Linked DNA regions of Mus musculus. The protein of the gene in region 1 interacts with the protein of each later gene in a pairwise test. Links are inferred from orthologs where the notes say so. Each region holds a gene or a part of one and is shown in the gene's direction. Other genes may lie near its edges.

What was found.
Region 2: the proteins of Fam189a2 (region 1) and Stam2 interact in a two-hybrid assay, tested with the Homo sapiens proteins (2 studies listed by BioGRID and IntAct). The two-hybrid records come from large-scale screens. The link is inferred for Mus musculus from reciprocal best matches to the Homo sapiens genes ENTREP1 and STAM2.
Region 3: the proteins of Fam189a2 (region 1) and Ubqln1 interact in a two-hybrid assay, tested with the Homo sapiens proteins (2 studies listed by BioGRID and IntAct). The link is inferred for Mus musculus from reciprocal best matches to the Homo sapiens genes ENTREP1 and UBQLN1.
Region 4: the proteins of Fam189a2 (region 1) and Bag3 interact in a two-hybrid assay, tested with the Homo sapiens proteins (2 studies listed by BioGRID and IntAct). The link is inferred for Mus musculus from reciprocal best matches to the Homo sapiens genes ENTREP1 and BAG3.
Region 5: the proteins of Fam189a2 (region 1) and Wwp1 interact in binary tests that used the Homo sapiens proteins (3 or more experiments, as listed by UniProt). The link is inferred for Mus musculus from reciprocal best matches to the Homo sapiens genes ENTREP1 and WWP1.

What each region holds. Positions count from the first base shown.
Region 1 is NC_000085.6:23,979,020-23,982,519, reverse strand, and holds part of Fam189a2 (protein FAM189A2), read left to right. Parts: intron 1-2,804; coding exon 2,805-2,934; intron 2,935-3,051; coding exon 3,052-3,130; intron 3,131-3,500. UniProt on the Homo sapiens protein: Functions as an activator of the E3 ubiquitin protein ligase ITCH in the ubiquitination of the CXCL12-activated CXCR4 receptor. Thereby, triggers CXCR4 endocytosis and desensitization, negatively regulating the CXCL12/CXCR4 signaling pathway.
Region 2 is NC_000068.7:52,707,650-52,711,149, reverse strand, and holds part of Stam2 (signal transducing adapter molecule 2), read left to right. Parts: intron 1-1,459; coding exon 1,460-1,554; intron 1,555-2,924; coding exon 2,925-3,007; intron 3,008-3,144; coding exon 3,145-3,232; intron 3,233-3,500.
Region 3 is NC_000079.6:58,181,154-58,184,653, reverse strand, and holds part of Ubqln1 (ubiquilin-1), read left to right. Parts: intron 1-1,329; coding exon 1,330-1,472; intron 1,473-3,500. UniProt on the Homo sapiens protein: Plays an important role in the regulation of different protein degradation mechanisms and pathways including ubiquitin-proteasome system (UPS), autophagy and endoplasmic reticulum-associated protein degradation (ERAD) pathway.
Region 4 is NC_000073.6:128,544,032-128,547,481, forward strand, and holds the end of Bag3 (BAG family molecular chaperone regulator 3), read left to right. Parts: intron 1-1,558; coding exon 1,559-2,365; 3' UTR 2,366-2,950; downstream 2,951-3,450. UniProt on the Homo sapiens protein: Co-chaperone and adapter protein that connects different classes of molecular chaperones including heat shock proteins 70 (HSP70s), e.g. HSPA1A/HSP70 or HSPA8/HSC70, and small heat shock proteins (sHSPs), e.g. HSPB8.
Region 5 is NC_000070.6:19,625,505-19,629,004, reverse strand, and holds part of Wwp1 (NEDD4-like E3 ubiquitin-protein ligase WWP1), read left to right. Parts: intron 1-999; coding exon 1,000-1,133; intron 1,134-1,231; coding exon 1,232-1,372; intron 1,373-3,500. UniProt on the Homo sapiens protein: E3 ubiquitin-protein ligase which accepts ubiquitin from an E2 ubiquitin-conjugating enzyme in the form of a thioester and then directly transfers the ubiquitin to targeted substrates.

The sequences.
Region 1 (3,500 bases):
AAAGGCAGGGTTTAGAAATGCTAGAAAGATGACTCATGGGTGTTGATTAAAGACTGAAGCCTCACCATATCTGGAGAAAGTTGGCCTCTCTGATTCAGACAGCTGTGATGTTCATTGGTCAGGACTCTCCCACTAAATCTAGGAAGGGTCTAGTCCTTTGGAGTCACTCAGCAGTGGGAGTTTTTAAACAGCATGAGCTAGGTAGGAGAGTTGGAACGAAATCCATGCCTGAGTCCTTGTTCTATGGAGAATATCTACTTAGGGCAGCTTTGACAGGAACCCTCTAGACCAGGGAGAGTGTTTTCATGGGACTTCTTTGTGCACTGGATGCTTGACACTTTACACAGCCACTCTGGGGAACATCCAAAGTCATGTGCCAGTATAAAACCTCGCCTCTATCCTTTCAGGGGAGCATAAATGGGCACAAGAAATAAGATGAGTTTTAAATCCAGTTTCTGCCTCTCCCCTTCAGTCGCTTAGATGCATCTGGCCTTGGGTCTGTCTTTTTATCTGTAAGCTTCCCTCTTTTCTTTTCTTCATATTCTAAGAAGAGAATTTTATTTTATTTTTTTTTAAAGAAGAGACATTGCTATGGGTCATCTAGTACCTACTGAGCACAGGGTTCTCTGTTTTGTTTTACCTTTTGCTTTTTTAATTACTTTAAAATTTCAGTTCTGTGTTTTCTAATGTCTTTTCTTCTTTTTATTATATGCGATAAATACTGGCAGGGAATCTTGTGAGTTTGGTTTTCCTTTTAATTTTTCTGTCAAGGGTCCTACAACCACAGTTAAAACAACAACAACAACAACACAACAACAACAACAACAACAACAATGTGTGTGTGTGTGTGTGTTGTCTCTGGAAACACTATGGCCATCAGACTGTAGATCCTCATGAGCCAAAAAAGAAGTCCTGTTCAATATGACTCAGTAGCCAGTGTTGGTTCAAGTTTAGTTTAAGTTTTTTGGTTTAAGTTTAGCACAATATAGAAAAGTTTTCTGGTGTAACATAATTCTGTGTATACAATAAAGCTTAAGGGATTGAATTGCATTGAAACTCTTAACGTATGTGCCACTTCTTCCATAAAGATGGGTTCTTTTGTTAAAGTTTATTTATGTAGTCTATGCATGTAAGTGCTCTATCTGCGTGTCTGCCTACATGGTAGAAGAGGGCATTGGATTTCATTGTAGATGATTCTGGGATACCATGTGATTACTGGAAATTGAACTCAGAACCTCTGAAAGAACAGGCAGTGCTCTTAACCCATGAGTCATCTCTTTAGCCCTGGAAACTGGGATTTATAGACAGACTACATATGTTATCTTAAGGACTTGGAGGAGGATCAGGTGTGGTCATACAGATAGTGCAGAAGGCATCCAGGCTACTAACCAAATTCATTTCTAGCCTTCTCGGTGGGAAAAACGGGTTCTGCATCAGTTCCTTTGAAGAGACAACCTTTCATGTTTAAAATGTCTGGTTTTCTGGTGCTTATCTGTAAGCACTGGGACATCAAACCCTCTCTAACAACAACAAAAACTATTACTTAAGAAGTACTTGAAAAGGGAAAGCATCTAACGTTGGTTGGGAGAAAGGCAATTTGGAAAGGAGGAGTATAATTGAGTAGTTCTGTGCTAAGGCAGAGACATCATATACTTATGTTGCTGAGTGTGGCAGATGGTACAGTCTCAGGAACCCCACATATCCCGTGGTGGAGCAACAGAAGTGGGTGTGTGTGAAGAACAGAGTAGAAATAGCTGACATCAGCAGGAATGGTTGAGGGAGGAAGAGGAGCCCCAGGAGAAGTTAGCTTTAACCAGGAAAACAGCAGCTGGTTCTTCAGTCCCAGTCACATGACAGAGTAACTGTCAAGTCAGCCTCTCTGCATCTTGGTAATAGCGAGACTCTTTTAAAGTTTCTCTGCTGAAACTATCGGTTAGCTATAGCTTTGTTGTTGGGAGTGAGGTATCAATATTCCAAATGGACGCAGATCTTTTTTGTCAACTCAGCCAGGTTTGTCACATCAAGTTCAGAGAAAAATAGAATGTTAACCCACCTCTTTCTTTGTTCTTACTAGGACTCTTGTTTCTGAATTTTATCCAGTGCCACCCACCTGGCCCAGTGCATCATTAGTCAGGGAGTGACCTGAGGAGCATGTGCGAGTCACTCTATGATCCTTTCTGCTAGCTCCTGTTTTGTCTTGGAGCTGGGGGCAATGCTCACCTTTTGTTTGAAATTAATTTCCCCTTTTAAAAAAAGTTATCCAACAGTGAATTTCTCTCACGAATCAGACGTGAAGGAAACCGAGGCAAGAAGCTTTTTCTGTGAACGACTGCAGGAGGGCACCAAGATTCTCCTTACCCTTAGTTGCCTTGGCTGTTGTTAGCGATATGCTTCAGTGGTATTTTGTATATCCACCTCATTGTGCAACCATCACCTCTAACTCTCTGCAAAGCATTATCCTCTCCCGTAAGCAACTGCCAAGTCCATAAACACTAAGCAACCCCTCCCTAGCCCCTCCCTCAGAGCCTGGCAGCCACCCATGCTCTCCATCCCCATGGACACTGCTGTACTAAAAGGAAAAAAGGGCATTACGTTTTATACACTGTCATTTCTAAAGGACCCCCTGGGTATTTGCCTAAGGATAGCTTGAATAGTTATTCCTCTTTGGCTGAGCTTCTGTGAGTGTCTTTCCTCTAGGTCCAGGCCACTCCCAATTTAAAGGCAAAGGCAGAGGGTCCAGGGTCTGCTGCTGTAGGAGGGCCAGTGTACAGAGCGCACCTCCTGACACCCGGTGCTTTTTCTAGGATGGTTGGTTCTGATGTCATCCCACTGCCCCATATCTATGGAGCACGCATCAAGGGTGTGGAAGTGTTCTGTCCTCTGGACCCCCCACCTCCATACGAAGCTGTAGTGAGCCAGACTGACCAGGAGCAGGTATGCCTACTCCCCAGAGTATATGCTCTAACATAACCTGAAGGGGTTTACGGGGGTCCTCTGAGGATCAAAAACCAAAAACAATGACCCCTCCTTCTCCCTTCCTTTCTGATGCAGGAGTCTTCATTCCAAATGCCAGAAGGACCAGAAACTGCTGCGAGCCCAGCAGAGCCAGTTTGCACGCAGATAACTCAAGGTAACACACACCTTCCCTACGCCAGGCCATAGGTCAATAGAGGAGAACATGGCAGAATGATCTGACTAGTGTTTTGCTGGAGGTAAGGTATTCAAACTCTTAGGGCTTAGAAGTGAGATCTAAAATGTTAACAGGAAAAAAGAAAAAAACACACTGAAATAAAGAGACCTACTTCAAACTTTTTCATGAATGATCAGACTATCCCCAGGAACCCATGGGCTAGAGTGCAGGTTAACTCGTTATTCCCCTGGCTCCCAATCCATTTCCTTGATCTGTTGAAATGAGCAGGATTCCTTCGAACGAACGTGAGTTTCCCAGTGAGTATTCACATTGTCATTTGTAACCAAAGGTTTTAATGCTAGAATTAAGA
Region 2 (3,500 bases), on another chromosome or scaffold:
TGAAAAAACAAATACCTGTGGTCCAGTAGGAAAAACTAACAGGCAAAGATAAGAATAAGCAGTTTGGGGCTGGAGAGATGGCTCAGTGGATAAGAGCACTGACTGCTCTTCCAGTGGTCTTGAATTCATTTCTCAGCCAACCACATGGTGGCTCACAACCATTTGTAATGGGGTCTGATGCCTTCTTCTGGTGTGTCTGAAGACAGCTACGATGTACTCATATAAAAATAAATAAATCTTTAAAAAAAAAGAACAAGCGGTTTACAAAGCAAGTTCCAGTGCAGCCAAAGTTACACAGAGAAACTGTCTCAAAGAAGAAAAAGAAAAGTCAGTCTGTGGAAGAGGCAGTGTAGCACTAGTGGGCCCTGGAGAGTGCGGATGAGCTTGCTGAAGCACGCCTGGCTCGCCTTCTTTCTGGCATCAGATGTTGGTATGGGCAGTTATCAAGTGTGGGGAAAATGACTGCCCCATCCTCCTTGGGGAAGAAGGAGTGTGAGCTACCAGTCTTTCTAATAAACATGTGAGCAGCAAGTAGTTTTGTCTGTGTGTCCATCCTTCCCCAGCCCCATCCCTCAGTCCTTTTCAGAGATAGTTTCATTGTTTGGCCTTTTTCTCCAGACTGGTCTTGAACCCGTGGCTGTGCAGTTCTTTCCAAGTACTAAGAACTATAGACGTGTGAACACACCTAGCCTGCAGGTCACGGCCTTGAACAACCTAGAGCAGCTGTTGCTTGTGGGCTTTCTAACCCAGAGTGGTTACTAGTCAGTCTTGTTTATTTGTTTTTTTCCCGAGACAGGGATTCTCTGTGTAGCCCTGGCTGTGCTAGAGCTCACTCTGTAGACCAGGCTGGCCCCACTCAGAGATCCACCTGCTTCTGCCTCCCAAGGGCATCTCCCACCACCTCTGTACTCTTCAGTCCTTGTAGTGTTGGGAGACTGGGAGTGACCTGGAATGAGCTGTCAGGAGTTCACCTTCACAGAAATGACTGGACTAAGTGCATAGGCACTTGGGATGGAACTTTAAAGATGAGTAGCATCATGAAACTGTACGCTCTGCCCGGGTAACACGTCTCCATACAGGTGTCAGTTCAGTTGTCCTTGTGTGAAAGGTGGCAAGGAGGCTGGGAAGGGAGCTGCTTTAGTTGGGATGGATGTAGCGTGGAAGGATGGATTTGGGCTTGGGGTTTAGTCACTGATAATTGCTTCAAAATGTAGGTATGAGGATATAGATTTTCTTTGACTATCTTTTCACTGATTTAATTATAAATATATTAATTTAAGAAAAAAGCATTTCTGGCTTTCCAGTGTTAGGATTACAGGTCTATCCCACTGTGTCTGGCCAAGGAAAACAATTCTTATGTATAGCTGGATGGGAACAACTGGGAAAGTCCAGTAGCTGTGTTCAGTTTTCTGTCGACAGGATGGAGGATAACAAATGACCTTTCTCATGCTGTTTTCAGTGACGCCAACTGGTGGCAAGGAGAAAATCACAGAGGAACAGGACTCTTCCCCTCCAACTTTGTAACGACTGACTTAAGCACAGAGGTTGAGACAGGTAACGTAGCAAAGGCTTTAGTTTCCCAAAGAAGCTCCAGTCTACTGAAGTTATCTTCCTTTGAGTTTATTATTGACTTCTGAGAGTAGGTGGGACTGGGCGTGGCAGCACACACCTTTAATCCCAGCCCTTGGGAGGCAGAGGCAGGCAGATGTCTGAGTTCCTGACTCACACAGTGAGTTTCTGGCCAGCAAGGACCAAAAAAACAAACAAACAAACAAAACCCAAAACAACAACAACAAAAAACAATCTACTTTGGCTTTCTTAGTTGATAGGAACCTTGGGAACTTTTCAGATAACTTTACAAAACATAGAAAACATCCTATTCAGTGATTTTCCTCTTAGCATAGTTGGAAGAGACTGGCCTATAGTCTAGTAAAATGATTTCCTAGCCTGTGCAGTGCCCTAGGTTAGATGCCAGCCTCTCTTCAGTAACATTTTAAATGGTAAAAGGTACTCTTTATGTTTTGTTTTTTGGGACAGTTTCTCTGTGTAACAGAGTCCTAGCTGTCCTGGATTCTCTTTGTAGATCAGGCTGGCCTTGAACTCACAGAGATCCAACTGCTTGTGCCTCTCAGTGCTGAAATTAAAGGTATGTGCCACCATGCTCTGCATGAAAGGTGTCTTGACTCTAACTGTATCTCTGTGTCTTGTTGAGCTTTCTTTACATGTAATTAATTCAAAGTTAGCCAAATAGTCCTTTAGATACATTGTTTTTTATAGTAATTTTGTTTCCATCAAAATTTAGTTAAAATTAGGTACATTCTAACAGTGTTCCAGGGAACTTGTACTAAGTAGTTTTCAGATATGCGTATTTATAAATTATTTTAAAACATTCTCTTTATGAAATACTTTTTTGTTGTAATTTATACTATTTTAACTCTCAGAGTTAGATTGAGTTGGGTCTATATTTTGTTCAAATAGGAAATACAGGTTGAGTTTTTTTTTTTTATTTATAAATATAGGTCAGAGTATAGATGGAACACTGTTATAAGAGAAACTGGCTTAGTCATAAACATCTATTCGCTTGTATATTTACTCATCTCAGCAGTAACAGTTTTCATGAAAGTAGCTGTAGTGACAGAGCCCGTGGATACTGCTCTGTCCCACTTGACTGTGGGGTCCACCAACCCCAGAAGATTCTGTTCACTCCCTGCACGAATCTAAGCACCAGAGGGAAGGAGGTTTGGCACACTGTGCGTGCTGAGTAGATATGGTGGCGTAAATGAACGACTGTGTGTAATATATTGATTATGAAGTGTGGCGACTAGGGAGCTTCTACTTTTCTCCTATGGATAATAATAGACCACTTAGAAATTTAATGACTAAATTGTAATGTTGAAAACCTAAAACTTATTTTGTTTCTGTAGCAACGGTGGACAAATTGAATGTAATTGATGATGATGTGGAGGAAATTAAGAAATCAGAACCTGAGCCTGTTTATATAGATGAGGTATCGACCTTTTGTTTAATAAACTACCAAGATGTTTTAAAAATAATGCTATCTTTTTGGAGTATGTGGGCACAGTGCTTTTCCATTCATCGTGGTTAACTCTTCAGACTTCTCAGCATCTCCTGTTTTCTTCCTAGGGTAAAATGGATAGAGCCCTGCAGATTCTCCAGAGCATAGATCCAAAAGAGTCAAAACCCGACTCCCAAGACCTCTTGGACTTGGAAGGTATTAGTTAATGTTGAACTCACCTTAATGTTGCTTAAAGTATATATTACCTGTTTATAGTGTTTTAACTTATAGATTTCCTGTTTATGGTGTTTTAACATATAGATTACCTGTTTATGGTATTTTGAAGTTTTTTTCTGCTTCCTGTTTGCTTTTTGAGATTTGAAATTCTTGTGAGAAACAGACTTGTGTAGTAAAATAATAGAAAAGTCAGTTGGAAGATATTGTCACAGCCTATATCCATTTCACAAAAGCAGTCTTTGTATTT
Region 3 (3,500 bases), on another chromosome or scaffold:
CGTGCGCCACCACGCCCGGCCCCACTGTTCTTAATTCTAAGAAAAACATCTGTTCTCCACATATGCCTCTTCAATATCCGTGTGGGTATTTGCCTGCCATGTGTGTCTGAACTGTGTGCATTGCAGTGCCTGAGGAGGCCTGAAAAGGGATTTGCATCTAGCACTGGCGTTAATAGGTGGTTGTGAGTTGTCATGTGGGTCCTGGGACTTGAACCTGAGTCCTCTGGAATAGCAACCAACTACTGTGAGCCATCATCTTGGTCCTGCTCCATTTTTTTTGAGACAGGGTTTCATTTTGAACCCCAGACTAGCTTGCAACTTGGCATTCTGCCTCAGCCTTCTGAGTGCTGTGTGCCTGGTTGGATGTTGTAATGAATGTCCAGTCAGCAGTGTTTATGCGTCTTGTAGTCTTTGATATGTACCAGGGTTTGGCATTTCATTTGGTAAGGTAATTCACGGTCTGCTGTGCCTTGACCCCACAGTATTAACAGTTTGCTTCTCTTATTTTACTTCTTACATGATTAATTTGCACTTGTAATTAAAAAAACCAAGATGCTGGAGTGACAGCAAAGCCGTATGAAGGAAGCAGGGTGGCTCCCTTGGTGCTGGGTTCAGAGCTCCTGTGCCTATCTGATAGGAAAGCGCCCAGCAGTGGGATCAGCAAAGCAATACTCATGTCCCTGGGCATTGGGTTTCAGTAGTCTCCAGTTACTATAAATATTTATTTGTAGAGAGTTTTCTCTTAACTGTAAAAACAATATTCACTTTTGGGCTATATAAAAACAAATTGTGAGAGCCAGATTGCTTTTGTAGGCTGAAGCTTGCCAAATTGTCTTAAGATATTTTTAAACTTTAGAGTGTGGAAAAGCTAACTTGAAACTTCAAAATATAGGAACATCACAAACACGGGACTCACAGCAAATTAGAAAGATGAATGGAGACGCTTAAGTGATAAAGGGGCACTAGTTCAGAATCCAGAATGAAATGAAGAATTAAATAGTTGGTTAACATTACACTGGCATTTCCCCCCCAGTACTGTGTCAGAACTCTTCTCTCTTTATTGAAGTAAGCCAACTTGCTCTTTTTGGGCCTCTGAAGTGTCACTGTCAGAATTCTTGTGCCTTGGAGCCATAACCAAGTACAGTAAAGGTTGATCTGAAAATAGAGCTTAGTAACTAGTACTGGTTAGCAACTTTATTTAGCTATGAACACTAAGTGTGGAGAAGGGGATGTAAAGTCACAATATATACTGTGTCTTAAAACATAAATGTGTGTCTTAATCTGTTTGTTTGTTTGTTTTTTTTGTTTTGTTTTTAAATAAATTTTTAGCTAGTATGTTCAACACCCCCGGAATGCAGAGCCTGCTGCAGCAGATAACTGAGAACCCACAGCTCATGCAGAACATGCTGTCCGCCCCATACATGAGGAGCATGCTGCAGTCCCTGAGCCAGAACCCCGACCTTGCTGCGCAGGTGAGCTTGTGGCTGTGCTGAGAGTGTTCTGAACTAAACAGGCCTGTGGTATCCTCTCCGCACGTTGGCTTGTGCTCTCTCAGAACACTAGAGATGTGGACACTGCACCTCCAGCTTTGGGGGCAGTTTTAGTTCAGATATACTTGAAACAATCTCATGTCTGCCATTTGTTGATGAGATGTACTTTTAAAAACAAAACCAGGCATTTTTAGGGAACCTGCTCTGATCACTGCTGCTCCCCAGTGTGGTGTTTGGTGCTAGCTCTCGGGGTGGTGGTTGTGGATGGAGATGGAGCAGCAGCACCCTTCCTGTGCCTGAACAGCTGGAGGGAGTACAGTGAGCACCCACGTGGTCACTGCTGGAGGAATGTAGCTTACAGTGTGCTCTGGGTGCTTACAGCACTCTGTTAAGTTTAAAAGCTTCTCTTCTTTCATTATGAAATGGTTTTTATTTTCAAAATCCTGCAGCCACACTGCTACAAGGGTATAGCAGATGTCGTTGAGGTAGGGTCGGTCCTTGGTGATGACTTATGTAACAACAAATACTTAAAGGACAATGCATCTGGATAATGTTAATCTCAAAACGTGCATGGTATGGGTTGTTGTGTGGTTTTGTGAATTTATTAATTAAGTGCTTGATGTTAATGCGTGCTAAGCATTTTTGTCACTTGGGTCCCTGAGATGTGGAGGTGTGTGAAGTGACCTATATTTTCAAGTATGTATTCAGTTAACCCTGAGTGTGTGCCTTATCCTTGGTTCCTCGTTAGTGAGCACACTCTTGTCTGTAGGGGACCTGGGTGCTTCGCAGCTGTTGTCTGCTAGCAGTAAAGCAAAACCCTGGCAGTCAAGGTGATGCCCTTATGATAGAGTCCTTCCCAGCTTACAGTGTGCTCTGATGCCGCTGCTCACGTTCATAGTGGGTATTCTTTTCAACTTAAATATTTAATTATGTTAAATGTAGAAACTGAATTGTGGAATGGAGGTTCAGGTAAGTGAGGAAAATATAATAAGTATGATAAATAAAAAGGTGTGTATGTGTGAGTGTGTGTGTGAGACAAGCTTTTTCTATACTAGTTGAGTAATTTAAGATGAAAGTAAATGTGGTAACTGATTAACAGCCTCGTAACAAACGAGCATTTGCCCGGAAGACTTAAAAAGAGGCGTCCCTGGCCTGGAGCAGGTTCTGGTAATTTGCTGCTTACTCTAAAGTACACTCTGTATCCATAAGACACCAACTGTTTCCTGCTTTGAAATTAAATAATCCACTTTGAAGGAGGGATGGGAGAAGTTGTTTTTTTTTTAAGACAGGATTTACATACAGTTGTTATTTAGTATGGTTGCCTAATTGAGGGCAAAGATCATTTCCTCCCCAGACTTTGGACAGGTAAAGGGGCCATCAGTAATCTTTGGGAAGCAATATGCAATTTGTCTTTTTTGAACCTTGTAGTTTCTGGTTTGCTTATTGTGCATGACGGTCTCACCCCAGGCAGTCACATCATGTTAATACTGGTCATACGTTGACGGCTAGGTGTCCCCCGTTTTTACTGTGGTGCTAGTGAAGTGGAAGCCAGACGTTAGTTAATCTCGGTGTTCTTTCTCATTTACCTCTCTGCGGCTTAGGTATCTAAGCACTTCCCTGAGGATGGCTGGTGCTAGTTTGGACTGGTTTTCACCTAGCAGCTCCATTTCTCTGACAAGTTGATTGCTGCTTTGTGGTTATTCTGGACCTAACAGCAACTGTTAGTGGTGGGCAGGCAGATCCAATGGTCTTAGACCTGGGTGTTCTCTCTGCTTGCTGTTTGTGTGTTGAAGTTTCTAAGCAAGCCATGTTTAAGCTGTTACATATTGATGTTTCTTTTACTCTGTAGTGTAGCAGAAAGCATATCTTCCTGAGAGCCTGGCACTCCCAGGTTTTTTCTTTTCAAAGGCAGAAATTCACACCTTTGTTCAAGGAAAAGGAGACAAAACAATTGCTTTTATTTTTTTAGGGCACTGCATGTCATCCATCACCCACCATTCTCGTTGAAAG
Region 4 (3,450 bases), on another chromosome or scaffold:
ACTGACTTTAGATGTCACTTCTCTTTAGTCTCTGGCATGGTCCCTCAGCCTTTTAATGCTTTCATGACCTTGACATTTCTGAAGAGCAGGGGACATCCTTTTCCTAAGTTTACTCTCACACAGCCATCCATTGATTTTAAAACCCACAGTGGGAGGGCAGCCGAGAGGCCTGGTGAGGAGTGAGGGCTGATGATGCTGGGCAGAAAGCGTTTGGTGGAAACAGCACGCCAGTGAGATAGCCACCCACTCAGGGTCCATCCTTGGATTTTGTAATCCCAGGACAGGGCTGCCCATGTTTCCTGTAGTCAGTGAGGGAGTATTTAGTCCTAGTTCGACCTCTATTGACCTTGATCAAGGTAGCCTTTCTTTTACATCTTGTTCAAAGAACCTTTTTTTTTTTTTTAGAACTTTCAAGGATTTAACTTATCTGACCATTAAAATAGAATTAATACTTTTACTTGGGATGAAGTAGCGCAACATTTCCTCCCAGTTAATGAAGCTGGGGCATTGTAAGGGTTTTGGAGTCTAAGTATTCATTCAGTGCTAGAAGAGCCCTATTCGGTTCCAGTTTGGAGCATAGTTGATATTTTAAAATATGACCTTGATCTCCAGTCCCTGGAAGGGCTGTGCAGCCAAATGCCAGGGTAAGGCATCAATTATATCACGGCATTGCATCAATATGCAGGGCCTGAATTCCTCCAGGGTTAACTATTTCAAGCATCTAGCTTATTTTCAAAAAACAAACAACAAACTGGTCTGAGCAGAAACCACTAGGCTGTTACAGGTCACCTTGAAAGGGCACCTGGGAGCTGAGACCTTATACAGCAAGACCCGAGGCAGCATCTCTGGCCCAGGGCTGAAATGCAGTCAGTCAGAGATTGCTCTGAGCAAACCCTACTGAGAGCCAGCATGCTGTTTCATTTTTGAAAATTACAGTGGCGTACTTTTCCTTGTCTGTAAGGCTGTCACCTCTCTACAGAAGACAAGCAGGTAGCGAGCCAATCAGTGGAGGCTTAGCAGATAATTTGGTCGCATTCATAATCAACATCCAGTTTGCATTTCAGCTATTGGCTGCCTTTAAAAAGATCTCATTATGGGCATAGAGAAATGGCTCAGCTCTTGATTAAGTTTGGTTCCCAGCGCCTGTGTGGGTGCCTCATAGTTTCTTGGAGCTTCAGTTCCAGGATATCTGACTCCCTCTTCTGACTTCCAAGGATAGATAACATACACACAGATCACATATACATAAATAAAAAATTTTTAAATCTTTTTTTTTTATGAACATCATTTTCTAAGCTCTGTGGATAAAGAGCTTGCAAGCCTGGCAGCCTGAGTTCAGTTCCCAGAACCCACATAGAGGAAGGGTAGAAATCTCTGCAGGTTGTCCCCTGAGGGCCATGTGGACATGGGGCACAAGATCCTGCAAACATACCAAAAAAAAAAAAAGTTATTTCCAGCTTTCTTGCTTTTATTTCTTTTTTATTTCTTCGCCTGCTATTAACCACGAATTATTGCTTTAGACAGTTATTAAAAGTTGATGTCCTCTTTTTCTCAACAGCCCATGACCCATCGAGAGCCTCCACCTGTTACCCAACCCGAAAACAAACCAGAAAGTAAGCCAGGCCCAGCCGGACCAGACCTCCCTCCTGGACACATCCCCATCCAAGTGATCCGAAGGGAGGCAGACTCTAAGCCTGTTTCCCAGAAGTCACCTCCTCCTGCTGAAAAGGTAGAAGTAAAGGTCTCCTCTGCTCCAATTCCTTGTCCTTCTCCCAGCCCCGCTCCTTCGGCTGTCCCTTCTCCCCCCAAGAATGTGGCTGCAGAACAGAAGGCGGCCCCCAGCCCTGCCCCTGCAGAACCTGCAGCCCCCAAATCGGGAGAAGCCGAAACACCCCCTAAGCATCCAGGTGTGCTGAAAGTGGAAGCCATCCTGGAGAAGGTACAAGGGCTGGAGCAGGCTGTAGACAGCTTTGAAGGCAAGAAGACTGATAAAAAATACCTGATGATCGAAGAGTATTTGACCAAAGAGCTGCTGGCCCTGGATTCCGTAGACCCTGAAGGACGAGCTGATGTGCGGCAGGCCAGGAGAGATGGCGTCAGGAAGGTTCAGACCATCTTGGAAAAACTTGAGCAGAAAGCAATTGATGTCCCAGGTCAAGTACAAGTCTATGAACTCCAGCCCAGCAACCTTGAGGCCGAGCAGCCACTCCAGGAAATCATGGGTGCCGTGGTAGCCGACAAGGATAAGAAAGGTCCTGAAAACAAAGATCCACAAACTGAAAGCCAACAGCTAGAAGCCAAAGCAGCCACACCTCCAAATCCCAGCAACCCAGCAGACTCAGCTGGCAACCTGGTGGCTCCCTAGTGTCCCCTGGGACCATGCTGTAGAGACTTTTAAGTTGCATGCACTGCGGGACTTGCAGTCAGCTGGCTGCCATTATTCATAGCCGCTTGGTATGCAGTAACTTGGGGTGGAGGTAAAACACTAACAAAGGGGGCTTTTCTTCCATAGTCTATTCTGTATAAATAATAAGTTGCCTGTTCCAGAAGTCTAACCCTAACCCCTCTGGTTGTCTGGGACCCCTTTCTGTGCATGGGTGCAATGATTTAGCCATGGCTGTGGGCTATCTGGGTACAATGATTTAGCCGTGGCTGTGGGCTATCTGGGTGCAATGATTTAGCCGTGGCTGTGGGCTATCTTCCTGTTAGCCTTGGACTGAAGGGGTTTTAAGTTTTGAGGGGTAGGAAGAGAGTTACAGGAATAGAGAACCTGTTTTTGAGACATGTTGTCATTTTGATGAGATAACCTTCATCTCGTTACTGAAATATCTAACTTCAGCTAGATATGAGCTATGCAAGGAGCCATAGGAATAGCTATATGTTGGAATGGCTTTAATGTTGTTACATTTGAGGGGGGATGGAAAATAAAGTGATTATATAACTCTCAAAATGTTTTTTTGTGGTTTCTAAAAGTTTGAAGAGTGACAGATGGCATCAAGGTTATTCCAGTGGGTGAAGCGAGGATCCCATATAAGCACTCAGGAGGCAGAGGCAGGGGGATTTCTGAGTTCGAGGCCAGTCTGGTCTACAAAGTGAGTTCCAGGACAGCCAGAGCTATACAGAGAAACCCTGTCTCAAAAAAAAAAAAAAAAAAAAGCTGGGCACAAATAACAGGCCTACCAACGGGCTCAGTGAGAGTGCTCTTGTCTCAAACAATGAGGTAGAGAGCAATTGAGGGTGACAGCCCACATTGGCCTCAGCCTCTTCATACAGGTTTGTGTACACATGAAAACACAGCAAAAGATTGTCCCTGACTTTAGTCAAATGGTAGACACATTTATAAGGCAGTTCTTATCTAGGGCACAGGAGGACTCAGGACTGTGGGCTTAGGTAGAGGAATATGCTTGCTGTGTGCCCCTTCTTCATCCCACCCTGTCAACTGCCAAATGC
Region 5 (3,500 bases), on another chromosome or scaffold:
GTATCCTAGAGAATTTGGTAACAATTAATAGGATTCTGATATTGTAGCTTAGGTTGATAGCCTACCCCAACCTCCTGTGTGCTGGTTATAGCCACCAAGCCCAGATGAGGAAAAAGAACTGGATGAACCCCGTAATATAAGAAGTATTGGCAAATGACCTTGAATCAAAGGGAGAAGTTTGTATTGCTCACAAAAGTGGTAGAAAGTTTACTTGCAATAGGAGTATGAGAGTTGAGATGCTAGTGGTGAGCAGATGGGTAGACTACACAAATGTGCTCCCGGTTACCATTTCCTGTGTGCAGTAAGTTTAGTAAGTATTTGAGGACAAAGGAATAGCAGTTCGTAGTCATCTGAGACAGGGAAACTGAATGTCGTGAGTAAACATGCTTCTATGAGGTTGCTGGTCATAGCTAGCTAGCTTGCTATATGTACTTCTAGCATGTTCTACCACTATATAGGCAGTATAAATTCTTAATTGATTTTGTCTAGATTTGGGAGTTTGTTAGAAATACATTGGGGAGGGTTTGAAGCTATATAAGAAGATAATTTCATGATTTATTGATTTAATGTAAACAGATTAAGGGTCTGCAAATAGTTTTAGATATTATGGATTCAAAAATCATTGGTGTCTTCCTGTATTCATGCTGTATGTAGGCATGAAGACACAGGGGTCCTACAGATTAATAAAGGAATGGAACAAAGTACATGGGCTTTTTATTTCTGTGTTTAAGTTAATTACTAAAAATATTTAAAAGTGGCAGAATTTGGTAATAAAGTCTCATCATCTCTTTATAGTTTTTATGTACATTATGTTTGACCTATGAAATAAATGTTTTCATTGTAGTTTTCTATGCATTGCATAGTATGCTAATCTTCACATTTTATACCATTGAATAGTGCTTTTTAATATGTAAAGCTGCATGATTTCTATATTGTCACTATGCTATAAAGATTATTATTTTGTAAGTTTAAATAAAATGTTTTGTTTGTTTTTAACAGGCACTGTTCCATGGAAAGTTTATTGATACTGGTTTCTCTTTACCATTCTACAAGCGTATGCTAAGTAAAAAACTTACTATTAAGGATTTGGAATCTATTGATACTGAATTTTACAACTCTCTAATCTGGATAAGGTTTGAAGTTTTTTTTTGTAATAGAAGTAATTACTTGAAACCCATTCCTATACTGTGTTTATATGCACACTCACACTATTTTTTTTTTTTTTATCCAGAGATAACAATATTGAAGAATGTGGCTTAGAAATGTACTTTTCTGTAGACATGGAGATTCTGGGAAAAGTTACTTCACATGATTTAAAGTTGGGAGGTTCCAATATCCTGGTGACGGAAGAAAACAAAGATGAATATATTGGGTAGGTTGATAGAGCTGATTGAATTCATTCTGTAGAAGGTATGGGATATAATTAGAAATATCCTATATTTACACTCTTAACCTTAGTAGTTTTTATGAAACACATGGAAAACTCTCGTCAGGTTCTTTCTCCGCTGGCTCAGGTCCTTGTGCTCTGTGCTGATCCAGATCCTGCTCGAGTTTGCTCGAACAATGCATATCGTTAGTCACTTTCCCATGTGCATTCGCAATAGGCAGTCTCGCTTCTGACCAAGTCAGAAGCCATGACAACATGCTGCTGAAAGCGATTTCCAGTCTTCAAAATCTCAGAAAGAAAAGTTGTATGTTCTCCTAGCCTATTACACATATACATATACAATGCAATGTGTGTGTGTGTGTGTGTGTGTGTGTGTGTGTGTAAAAGTGCACTTCGGGATAGTATAACCTGAAGAAGAGAACAGGAAAGAGTAACTTATCAGAGATGATAGTGAAAGACTGAATGAATGTAGGTAACTGAAACTTGATTCATAAAAGAGGATATAAAGTATATTTTTTCTAGTTTTAAATCTGCCATTTTTTGGTGATGGATAAATGCATGCAAATATTCAATAGTGAAAATCCAGTGTGAAGCTTCACAGCTTCAGAATGTTTATAACGATCAATAGATGTGGGGTCTGGTTAATTTTGGTGTATGAATTTTTTATTTTTAAGTTCTTTATGATAAAAATTTAACGTAAAGTATTTTGCAAAGGCGATGTAGCCTCCTCGTTTACAGATGAAGGGACTGAAGCTATGCCAGGAATGGGCAGAATTGTGTCTGGGAACTCCCCTTTCACTGACATTTCATCCCACACTACTCTTGAAAAGTTTTAGTATTTATTTATTTTGGCTTTGCAAGAAAGGGTTCTCTATGTAGCTTTGGCTGTTGTGGTATTTGTTCTATAGACCAACCCAGACTCAAAATCAGAGACCCACCTACGTTTGCTGGGAATAAAGGTGTGTACCAACACACACAGCCCACAATCCCAATTTTTAGCTTGTACATAATAAATATTTTATTGGCATCTATTCAGTATGTATGCTGCTGGGTTGTACAAAGAAGTTTTAAGTAACCATGGGCTTTGAGTATGTTCAGTCTTGCATTTCCTCCCCCTAGCCTTACTGCCTTCAGCTACTCTTATCCTTTCCCAGTTCGTTTTCTATTTTCCTGTCACAGGACAGCTAGAAAATTGGCTCAGTAGTTAAGAGCATTTGCTGCTCCTGTGTACTAAACTCCAGTTTGGTTCCCAGAACCTACATGGTAGCGCGCAACCATTTGTAACTCTAGTTCCAGATCCGACTCTGTCCTCTGCAGGCACCAGGCATTCACATGGTACATATAACATATGTGCAGGCAAATATTCATCCACTTAAAATAAGAACACATCTTTGAAGAAAAAAGTAACGAATATATACCTTTCTGAAAAAAGGGAAGCATGAAACCTTTGCTTTTCTGTCTGGTTTATTTCACTAAACATAATCATTTCTAACTTTACGCATTTTCATCAAGTTGAGATTATAAATATAATTAGATTATTTCTCTCTTCTTATCCCTCCCTTCAAGCCCTCTCCCATGTACCTCTGCTCTCCTTCAAATTCATGGACCCATGCTTTCATTAACTGTTGTTACATGTTTATATGTATATGCGTATATATTCCTAAATATAACCTATTCAGTCTGTATGATGTTAATTGTATGCATATTTCCATGGCTGTATGGTATTTGGTAAGCAATTAGTCCTCTTTCCTGTTTTTGTCTTTTAGTAGTTACTATAGAAGCAAGCCAGATTACATGCTCAGCGGCAGTGTGTAAGGATGCTCTTTTCTCTGCTTCCTTGCTAGCATTTGTTGTTTTCTCTTTGTTAGCAACTCTGGGGTAAGATGGAATCTCTGTGTAGTGTTAATTTGCATTTCTGTGATGACTAGTGATGTTGAACATTGTTGTTTTTGTTTTTGTTTTTTTTTCCATTTGTTCCTCATCTTTCAAGAACTGCCCATTCATTAGACGAAAGTCAAGTGGCTTTTTAACTCTAGGGCCTGTATTTTATCAAATTGATTCATGTCTCTGTTTTTAGCCAGGCCATTTATTTTTCTGACTGTGTTTCTGTATA